Canis lupus familiaris: one gene and its partners. The protein of the gene in region 2 interacts with the protein of the main gene of each other region in a biochemical or structural test. Links are inferred from orthologs where the notes say so. Each region holds a gene or a part of one and is shown on either strand. Other genes may lie near its edges.

Evidence for each region.
Region 1: the proteins of RELA (region 2) and RXRA form a complex in vitro, tested with the Homo sapiens proteins (2 studies listed by BioGRID). The link is inferred for Canis lupus familiaris from reciprocal best matches to the Homo sapiens genes RELA and RXRA.
Region 3: the proteins of RELA (region 2) and CEBPB form a complex in vitro, tested with the Homo sapiens proteins (2 studies listed by BioGRID). The link is inferred for Canis lupus familiaris from reciprocal best matches to the Homo sapiens genes RELA and CEBPB.
Region 4: the proteins of RELA (region 2) and GTF2B form a complex in vitro, tested with the Homo sapiens proteins (2 studies listed by BioGRID and IntAct). The link is inferred for Canis lupus familiaris from reciprocal best matches to the Homo sapiens genes RELA and GTF2B.

What each region holds. Positions count from the first base shown.
Region 1 is NC_049230.1:50,540,151-50,544,421, reverse strand, and holds the start of RXRA (retinoic acid receptor RXR-alpha), read right to left. Parts: upstream 2,810-4,271; 5' UTR 2,756-2,809; coding exon 2,728-2,755; intron 1-2,727. UniProt on the Homo sapiens protein: Receptor for retinoic acid that acts as a transcription factor.
Region 2 is NC_049239.1:52,050,702-52,054,858, forward strand, and holds the start of RELA (transcription factor p65), read left to right. Parts: upstream 1-1,350; 5' UTR 1,351-1,365; coding exon 1,366-1,435; intron 1,436-1,666; coding exon 1,667-1,693; intron 1,694-1,776; coding exon 1,777-1,949; intron 1,950-2,089; coding exon 2,090-2,238; intron 2,239-2,862; coding exon 2,863-2,954; intron 2,955-3,519; coding exon 3,520-3,651; intron 3,652-4,157. UniProt on the Homo sapiens protein: NF-kappa-B is a pleiotropic transcription factor present in almost all cell types and is the endpoint of a series of signal transduction events that are initiated by a vast array of stimuli related to many biological processes such as inflammation, immunity, differentiation, cell growth, tumorigenesis and apoptosis.
Region 3 is NC_049245.1:37,284,668-37,288,259, forward strand, and holds CEBPB (CCAAT/enhancer-binding protein beta), read left to right. Parts: upstream 1-1,243; 5' UTR 1,244-1,341; coding exon 1,342-2,382; 3' UTR 2,383-3,083; downstream 3,084-3,592. UniProt on the Homo sapiens protein: Important transcription factor regulating the expression of genes involved in immune and inflammatory responses. Also plays a significant role in adipogenesis, as well as in the gluconeogenic pathway, liver regeneration, and hematopoiesis.
Region 4 is NC_049227.1:60,008,312-60,012,608, forward strand, and holds the start of GTF2B (transcription initiation factor IIB), read left to right. Parts: upstream 1-1,488; 5' UTR 1,489-1,630; coding exon 1,631-1,647; intron 1,648-4,297. UniProt on the Homo sapiens protein: General transcription factor that plays a role in transcription initiation by RNA polymerase II (Pol II). Involved in the pre-initiation complex (PIC) formation and Pol II recruitment at promoter DNA.

The sequences.
Region 1 (4,271 bases), on a different chromosome or scaffold from region 2:
CAGAGGCCACGGTCAGGCCGCAGTCAGGGCTGTTTTTCTCGCCCTGACACTTCTCCTGTCAACAAACAGAGCCCCCTCTAGAGTTTACCCAAACAAACGCCCCAACAGTCCGCAGTGCCCAGGCCTCCACAGAACTGCCTCAGCAGGACGGCCTCCAAGCCCGGCCTCCAAGCCCAGCCTCCAAAGAGTCATGTGACCCTGTTATTTCGGGAGGCCCCGGAATGTGCTCTATTTTGGGTCCCTCGGGGCTCTGATGTTACCAGAAGCCCCTTACCAGGGTTCCAAGCTCACGCAGGTCCCCCGAGAGTCCCCCAGAGGATGGCCAGTGGGCCTGTGGCTCTGCTACTGGCCGCCCTGTCCCCTCAGGCAGCTAGTGAGCTACTGTTAGCCAAGCCGGGTCTGGCCAGGCCTGGGACCTCTGGGCCTCCTCTGTAGGCCTCCCTCATGGGTGTGGGGGGCACTGGGAGCAGGGGCTGCCTCAGACCACTCAGCCCCCAGATCTATAGCTGGGGCTCGTCCCTGTCCTTACCAGGTAGCTCGGTGGGCAGCAGCTAGGAAACAAACTCCCAGGTGGAGGAGGGCAAGGGCCCAGACCCACCAGGCCCCGAGGCAGGGGGCGCTGGGGGAGGAGGCCCTCTCTGCCCAAGGCCCCGCAAGCACAGTAGAGGGCTGTGTGGCCTTCCTGGCAGCGCCAGGGCTGGCCTGGGCTGCCAGCCGGGCCCTGGCCGAGTGAGCGAGTGAGCGGGGCCTTCTGACACTCACCCCCAGGAGGGATTAGGCTGTGTTTACAAAAGAGCTTGGGCAAGTAGCTGCTTAATCGGACCTTCAACTCCACCGCACTTCAGAGCTGGTCACAAGCTCAGAAAAAATAAAATGTCATCAGACAGAGCCCAGGACTCTCCACTCAAGCCTGGGGCTTGGGCTGCTGGGAGGCCACCGGCCTGGAGGAGGAAAGCCTCTGAGTCTCTGAGTGACCCATCCAGCTTCCTGGGGCAATGGCTCAGAGGCAGGACCTCCCCTTTCCGTGGGGATTCCAGCACAACTACCCTGCAGCCTGAGCCCTACATGGGCCAACTCCTGGGACCCTCCCAGAACGTCAAAGCCTGTTCCTGCTCCCCTCCTAGTACCCAGCCAGGGCCCTGCCACGTTCGGGGCGGGGAGCAAAGACAGCCAGACGTTCCTGCTCCAGAAGGGATCCTCTGGGAGAGCCTAGCTCTGTGCACATAGGAGTGTGCTCCAGCCTTGACCAGCAAGGGGGGGCGGGGGGGGGGCAGGGGGAGGAAGACGACACTACTTAGCTTTATTTTCTCTTCCACACACACTGGCACCCACTGACTGGGGGGTTAAAATCCAGAATCCACCACTTTGTATCCTGTGGCCTCAGCTTCTCCCAGTTTTCTCATCCGCAAAATGGGCACATATGTCCACCTCTGGAGGCTATGGGGAGGACCAGGCTCATGCAAGGAGGGCACTCAGCTTGGTCCCTTTGGAGATCTTCACCTTACAGAATCAGAGAGGGCATCTTCCTCCATCTGACAAACCTGACGAACCTTGTTCCAGTCTCCCTGCAGCAGCCCCCGTTTGTGAGTGGGCTGCGGGGTACCTAGGGGTGCTCAGATCCTCCCCCTGACCCATGGGCAGGGGGAAGGCAGCTCCACACTGGCTCCCCTCCACCTCCCAATCTCAGCAAAGGTCGGTACAGCTGTGCTGGGTTCTGACCGCCAACCTGGTGGCCAAACTGCGCCCCAGGCTGCAGGGGGGTGGGCAGGCAGGAGGGGCAACTGACCGAGGGCTTTCATTCATAATCAGCTGTTTTAATTTCCATTCAGCACAGATCCTTCACCCAGCCTGACAGCCTGGCTGCCGGCCCCACCACCAAATTAATATCCTTCGCGGCGCCCGTTCATAAAGTCTCCCCACCCCCTCCCCCTCCCCTGCCTCTCACAGGCTCCCCAACCCTAGGGAGGGCAGCGGCTGGGGGCGCCCAGCCAAGCCCCTTCCTCCTGCTACGTGGGTCGTGGGTCGGGGCCTGGAGTCGGGACGCGGTCTGGGGCAGGGCAGCCCCTGGGCGGGATGGCACCGGGAGGGCGGGAGAACTGAGCCTCCGCGCCCGGGGTGTCCTTCCCCCAAGTGCAGAGCCGGCCCCCGAGAACGCCCCGCACCACGCCCGGGTGCGCCGGAGCAGGGGGCGCCGGTTCTGGGATTCCCGGCGCTCCGGCCCCCGGGTGACCCTGCGCACCCGCCGAGCCGCTCCGGGAGGAGGGGTCCGCGCGTCCCCGGCCGGCGGCCTGCTGGCCTCGGCAGCCCGGGCGGCGGCGCACAGGCCGTCCCGGTGCCAGGCGGCCGCAGGCTGGGAGCGCACAAGTTGCTCCGCCCGCCCCGGCCCGGCCCCTGCGCAGCCCGGCGCGAGCTGTGCGCCCGGGGCTGCCGGCGGACCGGCGTGGCCAGGGGAGGGGGCGCCGGGGGACCCCCGCCCGCAGCCGGCCGCCCGCTCTCCCCCGCCGCCGCCGCCGCCGCCGCCGCTCCCGCCCCGCGCCCCGCGCCCCGCGCCCCGCGCCCCGGCCGGCCCGGGAAAAGTTGCCCGGCCGCCCGCCCCAGGCCGGCGCCCCAAGTCGGCGAGGCCGCGGGGGGCGCGGGGGCGCGGGGCCGAGCGGGCCGGGGACGCGCCCCGCCGCCCCGCCGCCCCGCGCCCCGCGCCCCGCGCCCCGCCGGCCCGCGAGCACTCACCGAGCGGCAGGAAATGTTTGGTGTCCATGTCGGCGGCCCCCGCGGCCGGGGCGGGACGGCGGGGCGAGCGCGGCGGCCCCCGGCGCGGCCGGCCGGGCCCGGGCGGCGGGAGCCGGCGGCGGCGGGGCGGCGGCGGCGCGCGGAGGCCGCGGCGCGGCGAGTTGTTGCAAAAGTCGCCCAACAATGTAAACTACTTGCGCTGCGCGCCGCCGCCGGCTCCCGCGCCCGCGCCCGCGCCCGCGCCCCCGCCCGCGCCCGCGCCCCCGCCGCGCGCGCCCGCGTCCGCTCCTCTCCGACCGCCGCGGCGCCGGCGGGGGGGCGGCGGGGGGCCCGCGACGGGCGCGGACTCGGCGCAGCGCCGCCGCCGCCGCCGCCGCCGCCCCGCCCCGCCCCGCCCCGCCCGGCCCGGCCCGGCCCGGCCGCCCCGCCCGGCGCGCGCCCCCCCGCGGACCCCGCGCCCCCGCGCCCCCGCGCCCCCGCGAGCACGCGCGCTGGGCCGCGAGCGCGGAGCGGGCGGCGCGCAAACTTGCGAGTTGGCCGCGGCCGGGCTTCCCGGGAGCCGCGCGGGGCGGCGGGGGAGGGGCGGGCGCGGGGTTCCCTCCTCGCAGAGGGGGAGGCGGGCGGGCGGGCGGGCGGCGGGGCCCTAGGCGGCCGGGCCATTGTCTGGGCGGCCACACAAAGCGGCCGGCCGCGCCGCGCCCCGCCCCCGCCCGCCGCCACGTGGGGAAACTGAGGCCCGCGGCGGCCCGAGCTCGCGCAGGGGTGCGGGCCGGGCCTCCGCCGCGAGCCCTCCAGCGTCTGGGCCTGTGCCCCAGCCGCCCCCCACCCCCGCTTCCACGCCCCTGGGAAGCCCTGGTCGCCGACACCCTGGGCCCGGAGGGAGGGCGGGGGGCCCGGGATCCCTGCACGCCGGCCCGACTCCGACTTCGGGGACCCTCTTTAGAAGCACCGGGCTGGGGAGGAGCTGCCCTGAGTTGGGTGCTGACTTCGGGGCCCCGGGGCTACTTCTCTGCCCTGACTTTTAAATTCCTGATTTGTTTGCTGAAAAAAGAAAGGAAGCACGCTGCCCCGGACCGCTTGGCGGCCGGAGTCGGGGTTCAAGGGTTACCTGCGTGGGGCGGACCTCACCGAGCAGATGCAGCCCGGAGGCGCCCCCTCGCCATCCGCCCCCACAAGCCCTGCTGCACCCATCCTTGGCAGGGAGACCCAGGCTCCAGGAGGTGGAGGGGCTTAGCAAAGTCACATGGGCTGCACATGGTGATCCTGGCCCCCCCCCGGGGGGGGGGGCGCTAGTGATTGGAAGTTGATGGCCTTGCTGCCCAGAGACCCCCACTCCCCATCATTGACAAAAAAGCCAGTCCTACTGCCTGGTGCACCGCTGCTACCAGTGTGACACTGGGTTAGCCTTGCCCCCCATCTGGGCTTCACTTTCTGCTCTGTGAAATGGGGAGTGTAGCAGGACCTGCCTGCCACCTGACAGCCGGGAGCTAGGGCCACTCTGACCTGCCCTGGGGGGAGGCTGTCATTCCACTTGGGGCAGGAGC
Region 2 (4,157 bases):
CTGAGAGGTCATTTGGTGGGTAATTAGTGGAAATGCTTTGGACCCTAGCAGTAGGCCCTGGAGAGACGAGCGGAGGCGGGAATGACCCTGTCGGTTTAGGCGGCCCCAGAAGTACCGGACTTTCTAAGAAGGATATCTGGCTGCAGAGACGAGGCTCCGAAGATTTACCCCTGGGCGCCTCTTGTCCATCCATCGCCCCCGAGGGCCGACAGTATGGAGGAACCGTAAACGCACAGGCTTCTTAACCCTAAAAGCCCTCAGGTGCCCCCTCGCCAGCGGGAGCAGACGCGGCGCCACCTGGGTCGCCCTCGAGCAGCAGGCTCCACAAAGCCCACGGTGCAGGCGCTGCCAGGTGGAGAGATCAGGTCGTCCCCCTTCGCCCCCACGGCGGTGGGTGGCTAATTAAAAAATGCTTATGCCGCGACCACCACCAAGAGGCACCTTTAGCGGTCAGAAGCCCCGTGGAGTTCGGTCACCTGGCCTTTGCGGGCGAATTAGGCCCGGGCCTTTCCCTGCGCAGGGCAGGCGGCCGCAGCCAGCAGTCCTGGCTGGGCTCCAGACCGGGCCCGGTGACATCACCAAACTCCTCCGATCAGCGGGAGGGGGCCCCCGAAATCCCCTAAAAACATTGTGAGTAATCACCGGGCCCGCCCTCCAGACGGAGCCCAGACCGGGGAGGGAGCCCAGCAGCCCTGCCAGCCCCGGAGCGGCGTCGGGACGAGCAGCCTCTTAGTCCCCGGAGCGGCGCAACCTGTCCCCAGCCTCGGGCCGTGGCGTCCGGCGCGCGGCCTCTCCGTCGTCGGCGCGGGGCACAGTTGCCCCCCGCCCCGCCCCGCCCCAGGGTGGCGGCGGCAGCGGCAGCGGCAGGGGCTGCGGCGGCCGCGGCGGCGGCGGAGGTGGCGCAGCGCGCAGGCGCGGCCGGATTCCCGGCAGTGACGCGGCGGCGGGCGCGCGCGGCGCATTTCCGCCTCTGGCGAATGGCTTGGCTGTAGCGCGCGCCGCGGGCCCAGCTGCGACCCCGGCCCCGCCCCCGGGACCCCAGCCATGGACGGTGAGGGCGCCCTCTGACCCCGCGGGGTGGGCGCGTCGGGGCCGCGGGGATGGCGACGGGAGCCCCCGCGCCGCCTTCCGCCCCTTCCTGCGCCGGCGGGTGCTGCGCAGGGAGCGGCCGGCCGGATGGTGGCGCGGGGCGGGGCGGGCTTTGAAGGGTCTGACTCAGTTTCCCCACTGGGTGGCGGGGTCTTGACTCCGTAATCTCCGGGGTGGCGGGGAGCTTCGGCCCAGCTTCACTCCGGGGCCCTGGGCGCAGGTCTGACTTCGTTTCCTCGTTAGGGGAAAGTGTATCCGACTCCGTTTGCTCTCAGGATGAGGCGTGGGGGTGCCCTCCGTAGTTTTCCTTTTGGAAGTAGAACAGCCTCTGACTCCGTTTCCCTCAGTAAGGAGAAGGCGCTCTGGCCAGTTTTCCCTCGGGAAACAGCTGTTTCTGCCTTCTTCACCCCTTCCCCTTAGTTTCACCGCAGGTTCCAGGGAGCGGGCCCTGCCCCAGTGCCCTTGGCGGGGAGGGAGCCTGGCGCTCTGTCCTCTCCGTGAGGAAGCAGGCGCTCCCCGGTAAGGACGGAAAGGGGGAAAGGGGGCTTGTGCTGATCCTTGTCTCCCTCCCTTTCAGACCTGTTTCCCCTCATCTTCCCAGCTGGTAAGTGGACCGCCTTCCCTCTCGGTGATTGGGGGAGGAGTGCCCTGGGGTTAGGGGCGAGGAGGGCAGCCGCCTGATTGGAGCTGGTCCGGGTCTGGCCACAGAGCCCGCCCAGGCCTCTGGCCCCTATGTGGAGATCATCGAGCAACCCAAGCAGCGGGGCATGCGCTTCCGCTACAAGTGCGAGGGCCGCTCAGCGGGCAGCATCCCGGGCGAGAGGAGCACAGACACCACCAAGACCCACCCCACCATCAAGGTCAGCATGACTGTTAGTGGTGGTGTGGGGGGCACAGGGTGGGTTTGCCGCCTCCAGGTGGGGGGTGGGGCTGGGTGCAGTGTCTGGGAGTTAGGTTTGGACTTCCCGGAGTCTCTAGAAGTTCTCTGTACTTTGAACAGATCAATGGCTACACGGGGCCAGGGACAGTTCGCATCTCCCTGGTCACCAAGGACCCCCCTCACCGGCCTCATCCCCATGAGCTTGTGGGGAAAGACTGCCGGGATGGCTTCTATGAGGCTGAGCTCTGCCCCGACCGCTGCATCCACAGGTGAACTCCTGACCAGCCGGGTATGGGGGGTGAGGTGAGGAGACGGGAGGCTGGGTGGGTGTGTAGCTGTTATAGTGTTACTCCATTCTGGACACTGGGAAGAATTCTTCACTTCTAGCTTTGCAAGCAGATTCTCTTTGCCTTGAAATCATCTGTGCATCTCAACTGTCAAGTAGATATGAGCTCCATGGGATAGGAATGGATCCCTAATAACCTCTGAACCCCCAAAGTAACTTCACTGATGAAAATAACATAGTTAGGTTGGAAGAATAGCCCACTGGTGGAGGGAAGGTCGGCAAGTTGGAGGTCAGGAAAAGCCTCTCTGTTAAGGCTTGAATAGTGAGGAGAGCAGAGAAGCATGGGAAAAAACATTTCAAGCAGAGTGAACAAATGCAAAGGTCTTGAAGTGGGGGTGAGTTTAGGGTGTTTGGGAAACAGAAAAGAAGCGGCTGTTACTGAGGGTAGGGAGCCCAGGCAGCAGGGCACAGATGCTTGTCAGCCAAGGTAAAGAGTGGGTTTCTTTACAGCACAATAGGAAGCACAGTGGTGATTTGGTGAATGGGGAGGGGAGGGAGGAACAGACTGGGCAGAGACAATGGGACTAATACATGGAGAGGGACTCAGCTTCCAGAACCTGGGGATCCAGTGTGTAAAGAAGCGGGACCTGGAGCAGGCCATCAGCCAGCGCATCCAGACCAACAACAACCCCTTCCAAGGTGAGGGCTGAGGGATCCCTGGGTGGCGCAGCGGTTTGGCGCCTGCCTTTGGCCCAGGGCGCGATCCTGGAGACCCGGGATCGAATCCCACGTCGGGCTCCCGGTGCATGGAGCCTGCTTCTCCCTCTGCCTATGTCTCTGCCTCTCTCTCTCTCTCTGCCTGACTATCATAAATTTAAAAAATAAAATAAAATAAAATAAAAAACAAGTTGAGGGCTGAGGGAGCAAAGGCTGAGACCTGTCCGAAGCACCCCCACCCTCTCTGGTTCTTCCAAGCCACCTCCCTTATTGGCCAAGACTCTTAGTACTGATGGAATTTTGCTGCCCATTCAGTACCCACTCCCATTTACCACTGGGGAAACTGGGAGCCAGTGAGGGGGCATAACACCCAGGGGCACAGGTGGGTCACACAGTTCAGTGATGGGTCTAGAATCTTCTCTCTCTCCTCCTTTAGGACTCCCACTGTTTGACACACCCTCAGACAATGCTCCCGGGTCCAGAGCTCCCTGCCCCCCTCATCCCCTGCCACGCCTCCCGGTCCCCTGACCGTCTATTCTTGTGGCAGTTCCCATAGAAGAACAGCGTGGGGACTATGACCTGAATGCGGTGCGGCTCTGCTTCCAGGTGACAGTGCGGGACCCGGCAGGCAGGCCCCTGCGCTTGTCACCTGTCCTCTCCCATCCCATCTTTGACAACCGTAAGTGACCAAGGAGCCATGGGAAGGGTAGAGGGAGGGACAAGCCTGTGAGGAGGAAGGGGTTGGTGGGGAATGGCCCACTAGAGGAGCTCTGGCTTCATGCAGGCATCTAGTGTATTTGTCACCTCTTCTGTGTCCAGCTCTGTGCTGGCTGTGGTGGGGGTTGGGGGGGGGGGCGGTTAATGAGACAAAGAAGACCTGGATCTGCCCTTAAGGTGTTAGCTTCAAGGCTGGCAGGAAGTCAGATAGAAGACAGGTACTTGGAATATGTGATGGGAGGATGGTGTGCCCGTAACTGTACTAACGACTCTGGGAAATGAACTCCTGGGAACAAGATGATGTTACAGAGTAGTACTTCAATGATGAAGCTCATAGGAAGTTCACAGATGGGGACGCCTGGGTGGCTTGGCAGTTGAGCGTCTGCCTTCAGCTCAGGGAATGATCCTGGAGTCCTGGGATCCTGGGATGGAGTCCCACATCAGGCTCCCTCTATGGAGCCTGCTTCT
Region 3 (3,592 bases), on a different chromosome or scaffold from region 2:
GTTGGCAAAAAGGTCTTAGGGTGCTCTGATAAGAGCTTTTAAGACTAGTGGGGGACATGAGGCCCTGTGACCTTGGGTGTCCTATGCCCCCCCCCCCCCGGGCTTCTTTGTACCCTGTGGGAGGGAGGTGGCTTCTTTCTGATGTGCCTCCCAGAGTGGACCTCAAACTTAAATTAAGCCTTCTGTTTGGGAGTCCGTGGTGGAGACAATGATACAACTAATAATAATAACCGTAACAGCACTTTCATGGAAGGAGCTTGGAGTGAAGTGACTCGCCCAAGGTCACGCAGCGTGGCCGCCGAGCACCCCCCACCCACCCCCTTCCACCTCCCTGGGCCCAGGTCAGGGTCGGGTGGGGCCAGAGAAGACCCAGGTGTGGTCTAAGGGGGCGGGCAGGGCCGGTGGGCGGGGCTGGGGGCGGCGCAGTCGCCGCGGCCGAGGTCCCGGTGGGGCTCTCCCCCGAAGTGCCCCCCACCGGGGTCCTTGCGTTAGACGTGCCTTTAGGAGGGGCGGGGGGCCTCCCCCAGCGTGGAATCCCCTCCTTCCGAGGGCTGGGGTTGGGAGCAAGTTTTGGGGCGGGGAGGGGCCGGCCGCGCGGGGGAAGGACGGTGCAGGTGGGTCACCTCTCGGGGGGCCGGGGCGGGGCCGGGGTCTCCGGGATCCGGCCTGGGGAGCGCCGGCCTCCTCCGTGGGGCGTCCGGGCGGGCTCGGCGGGTCCCGAAGCCTCCGCCGCCTCCAGCAGGGGGCGGGCGGCGGCCGTGCTTCGGGAGGGGGAAGGCGGTCGCGCTGCCCCCTCCCCGCGGCCCCCCCGGGGCGGCCTCCAGCCCGGAGGGGGCGGTCCGGGGGCGGGGTCGCGCCGCCCCTCCTCGCTCCCAATCCCCGCGCCGCCGGGTGGGGGTGGGCAGGGGGCGTCAGGCCGCCCCCCCGCGGGCCCGCGGACCCCCCGAGGGCGCGCCCCGGCTCTCGGGTCGGGCCGCCGGGCCCCGCCGGCGCCCTCGCGGGGGTCTCGGGCCGCCACCCCGCGTCCCGGCGGCGGCGGGAGGGGCCGGGGCGGCTGCCAGCGTGACGCAGCCGTTGCCATGGGTCGCCTTATAAATAACCGGGCTCGGGAGAAACTTTAGCGAGTCAGAGCCGCGCACGGGACCGGGAAGAGGACCCACGCGAGGGTCCAGCCGTCAGCCCCCGCACCGGCAGCGGCCCCCCGGCGGCAGCGGCCCCCCGGCGGCAGCAGCGGCGGCGGCGGCGGCGACCCAGCGGCCACGGTCGGAGCCGGGAGGCCGCGCCACCTGCGGGCCGGCCGGAGCGGGCAGCCCCAGGCCCCCTCCCCGGGCACCCGCGTTCATGCAACGCCTGGTGGCCTGGGACCCAGCATGTCTGCCCCTGCCGCCGCCGCCCGCCTTTAAATCCATGGAAGTGGCCAACTTCTACTACGAGGCGGACTGCTTGGCTGCTGCGTACGGCGGCAAGGCGGCCCCCGCGGCGCCCCCCGCGGCCAGACCCGGGCCGCGCCCCCCCGCCGGCGAGCTGGGCAGCATCGGCGACCACGAGCGCGCCATCGACTTCAGCCCGTACCTGGAGCCGCTGGGCGCGCCGCAGGCCCCGGCGCCGGCCACAGCCACGGACACCTTCGAGGCGGCCCCGCCCGCGCCCGCCCCCGCGCCCGCCTCCTCCGGGCAGCACCACGACTTCCTCTCCGACCTCTTCTCCGACGACTACGGAGGCAAGAACTGCAAGAAGGCGTCCGAGTACGGCTACGTGAGCCTGGGGCGCCTGGGGGCCGCCAAGGGCGCGCTGCACCCCGGCTGCTTCGCGCCCCTGCACCCGCCGCCCCCGCCGCCGCCGCCGCAGCCCGCCGAGCTCAAGGCGGAGCCGGGCTTCGAGCCCGCGGACTGCAAGCGGAAGGAGGAGGCCGGGGCGCCGGGCGGCGGCGCCGCAGGCATGGCGGCTGGCTTCCCGTACGCGCTGCGCGCCTACCTCGGCTACCAGGCGGTGCCGAGCGGCAGCAGCGGGAGCCTGTCCACGTCCTCGTCGTCCAGCCCGCCCGGCACGCCGAGCCCCGCCGACGCCAAGGCGCCCCCGGCCGCCTGCTACGCGGGGGCGGCGCCGGCGCCCTCGCAGGTCAAGAGCAAGGCCAAGAAGACGGTGGACAAGCACAGCGACGAGTACAAGATCCGGCGCGAGCGCAACAACATCGCGGTGCGCAAGAGCCGCGACAAGGCCAAGATGCGCAACCTGGAGACGCAGCACAAGGTCCTGGAGCTCACGGCCGAGAACGAGCGGCTGCAGAAGAAGGTGGAGCAGCTGTCGCGCGAGCTCAGCACCCTGCGGAACTTGTTCAAGCAGCTGCCCGAGCCCCTGCTCGCCTCCTCCGGCCACTGCTAGCGCGGCCCCCGCGCGCGGCCCCCCGCCGGCCGGCCGGCCGCCCGCTCGCTCCGCCCGCGCGCCCGCCCGCCCGCGCGCCCGCCCGCCTGCCCGCGCGCTGCCGGCCGCGCCGCGGGGACCCGCGCCCCCGCCCCCGCCCCCGCCCCCGCCCCCGGGGCGCCGGCGAAACTTTGGCACCGGGGCGCTTGGCGGCGCGGGGAGCTCGTCGGTAATTTTAATATTTTATTATATATATATATATATCTATATTTTTGTCCAAACCAACCGCACATGCAGACGGGGCGCCCGCCCGTGGTGTTATTTAAAGAAGACGTGTCTATGTGCACAGATGAGTGACAGGCTCGCTGCCTCCCCTGCCTCCTCTCCGGGCGCCGGCGGGCGGGCCGGTTCCGAAGTTGATGCAATCGGCTCGAACATGGCTGAACGCGAGTGTACACGGGACTGACGCAACCCACGTGTAACTGTCAGCCGGGCCCTGAGTAATCGCTTAAAGATGTTCCTACGGGCTTGTTGCTGTTGATGCGTTGTTGTTGTTGTTGTTGTTGATGTCGTTGATGTTGTTGTTTTTTGGTCCTTTTTTTTTTTTTGTATTATAAAAAAAATAATCTATTTCTATGAGAAAAGAGGCGTCTGTATATTTGGGGATCTTTTCCGTTTCAAGCATTAAGAACACTTTTAATAAACTTTTTTTTTTTTTTTTTTTTTTTGGAGAATGGTTAAAAGCCTTTTGGGGGCAGTAGTTGGCTTTCGATTTTTTTTTTTTTAATTTATTTTTTGGTTTAGATGATTTTAGATGTGCTTTCCTGGATGGGGGTGTGTGGGGGGGTAGGGGGGGGTGGGGTTGTTGTGTGTTGGGGGGTTTCTATTATTTTGGGGGTTTTTTGGTGGTTGGGTGGCGGTGTTAACAGCTGTGTCGTGTGTGTGTGTGTGCTTTTTTTTTTTTTTTTTTTTGGTCCTCCCTCCACTGCTGCTCCCTCCAGGGTCTGTGCTTGGAGGTGGGGGATGCCAGGTTTCTGGGGCTCTCAGGGTGACTCAGCGCCCCTGAGTGCTGGGGAGGAGTGACCCGGAACCCTGCTTGGGAAGAGGTCGGCTTGTCCCGAGTGCCAGGCTTGAGTTTAGAGGGAGGGACCTGTACGTCTGTGACCTCTGTAGGGTCCGGTGTTTGGGGGATCCGGCTAGCAGGCCACATTATGTAGGAAGAGGGCGTATG
Region 4 (4,297 bases), on a different chromosome or scaffold from region 2:
TCAGATGTAAAGATTAAATGGGATAAATGTTGATGAGAGGCTATATAAATTGCCAGTGTTGTACAAACACAAGAATGGCCTACCTAAATTGTTTCTACTTTAACAAAAAGAAATCCTAACTGGCTTATGACAGATAAGAGACTCTCCAGGTGGGGCAGAAGTAATTTAACAGGCCGTCCAGCTTCTTTCCTCCCGGGTTTCAACTTCTCTGATTTCTTTCTTCTGCAAACATTACCGCATGCCCACTAGGTGATATAGGTCCTTATTCTTGATCTTCCAGAAGGGCCTAGCTGTCCTCCTTCTGGTCTCCCCCTTCTTCTTCCAAGTCAAGGTGTTCTATCTATAAAAAACGTCCTGCCTGCATGGGGGGGGGGGCACCCCCAACCCTTTTTCTGGTTGCATTTGGCACAGCTGAAATGAACTGTTATTTGTGAAACTTTTCCAGGTATTAAGAGAGACCCTCACCTCCCACCCCCCACCAGCCAAAGTACAGTCAAGTAGTCAAGTTTTTAAATTACAGAATTACAGATTGGAAGACTGGGAGAAGAAAAAAAAGAAAAAAGAAAGAAAAAAGAAAAAACTACTCTCTCCTCTCCAGCTGGATTTCAGTTCCTAAACTTCTGCTTCTCACACCCTTGTTCTAAGGAAGTGAGCCTTTCCCACCTTTCAAGAATACAATGAGGGCTCAGTGGCATGTAAGCCCCAAGCCCAAGTGAACAAAGCAGCCACTATATTCTGTCTTCATCCCCATAGAAACCTGGAGCACCCTCTTTCCTCTGATTCCCACAGGGTCAAGGTTGGTTTATTTTCAGCAGATGGGTGGCGAGGTTATTGTTATTTATTGCCACTGTCCTGATGTTAGTTTGGCTAAGTAATAAACCGAGGGTCCTTCTGGGGCATGGAACCTTCCACGGAGCTCTCTGTGCTTCGGCTAATCAACCAGATTTTGCAAAGGCCACGAAAAAAAAAAAAAAAAATCAGGCCTGCGCCGACCTCTCCCGGCCTCCGAGGCGAGGGCCGAGCGCCCTCCCGAGGGCCTGCTCCACCTCCCGCCAACTCGGAAAGCGCCTGCGGAGCAGAGGGGGGCCCCGCTTGCACCCAAAGGGGAGAAGAAACAGCTCGGCAGCCGACGGCAGAGCCGACATTGACACCTGTTCAGGCGGACTTAGGTGAATCTCCCTCTTGACTCCTAATTCCTTAAGTGGAATCGCCCCTAAGCACGAGTAAGGACTGCGCTCGAACCCCCGGCGGGGAGGGAGCGGGGCGGTGGAGGGTGCGCCTTCGGGGGTGCGGGCTTTGCAGCCCCCGCCGGGCCCGGGCTGTCTCCGTGTTTGAACTCGGCCCGCCCTAGAGTCACCGCGAGAACCCCCCCAGGTCGTCGAGCTGGCTCGCGCCGCAGCACAGCAAGTCAAGGCAACGCAATAGGAAGATTGAAAAAAAAAACGCGAAGCACGTGGCACCCAGAAGCTCACTTTTGTTGGCCCCTCTCCCGACCCGTAGCCGCGCCCTATTATGACCACGTGGGAGGCTCGCTCTATAAAAGCCGGGCTCGGAGCGTCCCGTCGCCACAGTCGCTTCCTGTTCTTGGCGCGTCGGTCGGCTCGTCGCTGAGGCCGCGGGGGCCGTGAAGATGGCGTCTACCAGCCGGTTAGTACGTCCGGCCGAGCCGCGCTCGCTGAGGGGCGGGCGGAGAGTGCCAGAGTGGGCAGGCGGGCCCCGGGGGGCCGTGTCGGGCAGAGCGTTCCGGAGGTGCGGGGGGAGGCGGTGGACTGGCTGGCCGAGCCGGACAAAGGCGCTTCCAGACGGCAGGGCTGTCAGGGGCGGCTCAGGGGCTGCCGACCGCGGCGCTCCCACAGCGGCGGTACCACCCGACGTCCTGGCTCGTGAGCTCATCCGGCCGCCACCCTGTGAGGGCCGCTGTGTCCCCAGCCCCCCCTCGTTTCGCGTCTTTTTTTGGGGGTGGGTGGGGGGGGGTGGATATCTTAACTGTGGTGTTTTTGTTTTTGTTTTTTTTGTGTGTGTTAATTTTTTTCTACGCTTGTTTTTCCAGCTGTGGCTCAACCAGCCCACGATCCTTTCCAAAAAGCGGGAAAGGGTTAGTTCCAGGCCCCTGTCGATCTGACAGCTGTAGAGTTAGGGACGTCAGCCCGAGGGGAACTGATTACCGTCCCAGAGGCCTTCCGAAATGGAAGCTGGGGGCGTTTCCGAAGAGTTGAGAAGTTCCCTTCTAAGAGGTTTATATTTTTACAGAGGTCTTCTGCATTCTCCTGAAGAAAATCTTGCCTGCAGACAATTGCTTACATACGCTGGGAAGTTACTAAGTCTTTTTTTTTTTTTTTTTTTTAACACTAAGATATTTTTTTTTTTAATGTGATATACTCCTATCTACAGGAAATAAGTGCAGTGCCCTTAAAGACAGCCTTTAATCCTGTGGTCCGAAAAAAATGTTTGTAGACCCTAATTAAGTCTCTCATTACCACTACGAGGTAGATATTAGTATTTTTGCATAAGTGTAAACTGAGTCATGCCGGTGTTGACTTTTCCAAGGTCAGTGTCAGAACAGAGTGTAGAATCCCTTATCAGTTTCCTGTTACCACGCAGCTGGCCTCTAGTTAGCTCATAATGTATTGAAAGTGTCAAGTTCTATAGCTTCTGGGGAGGTAACTGGCATAATTTTTTTGAATTTGTTATCCTCTGTGAGAATTGAGTTCCCAGTAAAAGCCAGTATCACAAAACAGCAAACTGGAGAAGTCCGGGCCCTTTTGTGGTACTGCTAAGACTTACTGCTTTATGTTACTGTACTTTTTAAGGGGGGAAAAAAAAACGGTGTTGGGGGAGGCAGTGTTAGCTAAAACAACTTGGAAACCACTCAAAGCCAGGGACACTCTTGTTTACTGATTGTACTTCTGTGATTGAATACTCAATCATTCGGTCTGGGTGTGGCTCTGTTGGGAAAGGCTTTTCTTGTAGGTAAGTGGAAAACTTGAGCTTCCTGAAGACACCTAACTACCACGTCTTAGGGCAGTAGATCTGAAAAGTAAATGTGGTCACACTTGGGCACAGCTTTTCCATAGGATAGGACAGGAATTTTGTAAGAAAAATTTGCAACAGTTAACTGTAGTTAAGTTCATGTGCTAGATTCTTTATCAAAAGAATACACTTACCATTGTGTGTCTCTATTTTCTTCATTTGTTAAAAAATAATTTTTGAAATAAATTGTTTCTGGACACGTCCAGGTCTTAAATCTATGTGTCATTGAGTTGTCCATCTCTAAATTTTCTACGGGTGAGAACAAAGGTAAAATGTTAGTATTTCTGCCTTTTAGTTTGTTTTTTTTTTTCCCCCCTTGAGGGAGAATAGTTACTAGATTATGAAACTGCCTGGTGTTTTCACAGAGAAAAACACAAATGTTGTGAGTTCAAGTCTAAACTCCACCATTTTTCTGTAATTTCAGGCTAATCGTTTTGTAAGCTTAATCTTTAGAAGGGAAATAACCTTTATTTTGCAGGGTTGCTATGAAAATGAATAATAAGTGTAGCACTAGGCACACAGTGGGGACCCAATAAGTGATCGTTATAAAGTGAGATTTGGGTTTATCTGGCTCCTTAGGTACTCTGAATTGTTTTAATGTCTTGGGTGGTTGTTTACTCCATTCTTTCTCTTTCATTTCTCTCTCTCCCTTCCCCCACTGCCCTACTCTTGTGGCTCCTTTTTGATTACTCTTGTGGATATTCTAATTAAAGTTGACTGCTGTATCATGATTCATTTTATTTTTTTTATTTTTTTATTTTTTTTATTTTTTAATATTTTATTTATTTATTCATGAGATACACAGAGAGAGAAGAGAGAGGCAGAGACACAGGCAGAGGGAGAAGCAGGCTCTACGCAGGGAGCCCGACATGGGACTCGACCCAGGTCTCCAGGATCACACCCTGGGCCGCAGGCGGTGCTAAACCACTGCACCACCAGGGCTGCCCCTCATGATTCATTTTATTTTGGATACGTAACACACAGTAGTACAAAAACAAAAGTGAAAAGAAGTTTCTTGCCTAGCTCTCAGCCATCTAATTCTCCCCTGAAAGCAGCCATCATAACCAGTTTCTTGGTGTTTTCCTAATAGTTTAACAAACTTGTTTAACAGTGCCAATCTCTCTTGTTCCCCCAAAGTCCATTGTAAACAGTTTGCTACCTTTTTACCATTTTTGTGAAGTTAGCACACATTTTAGGTGCACAGTTCAGTTAAAAATGAGCGCATAGACATAGCTACCACCCCAGTCAAGAAATTAATTGCCACTGG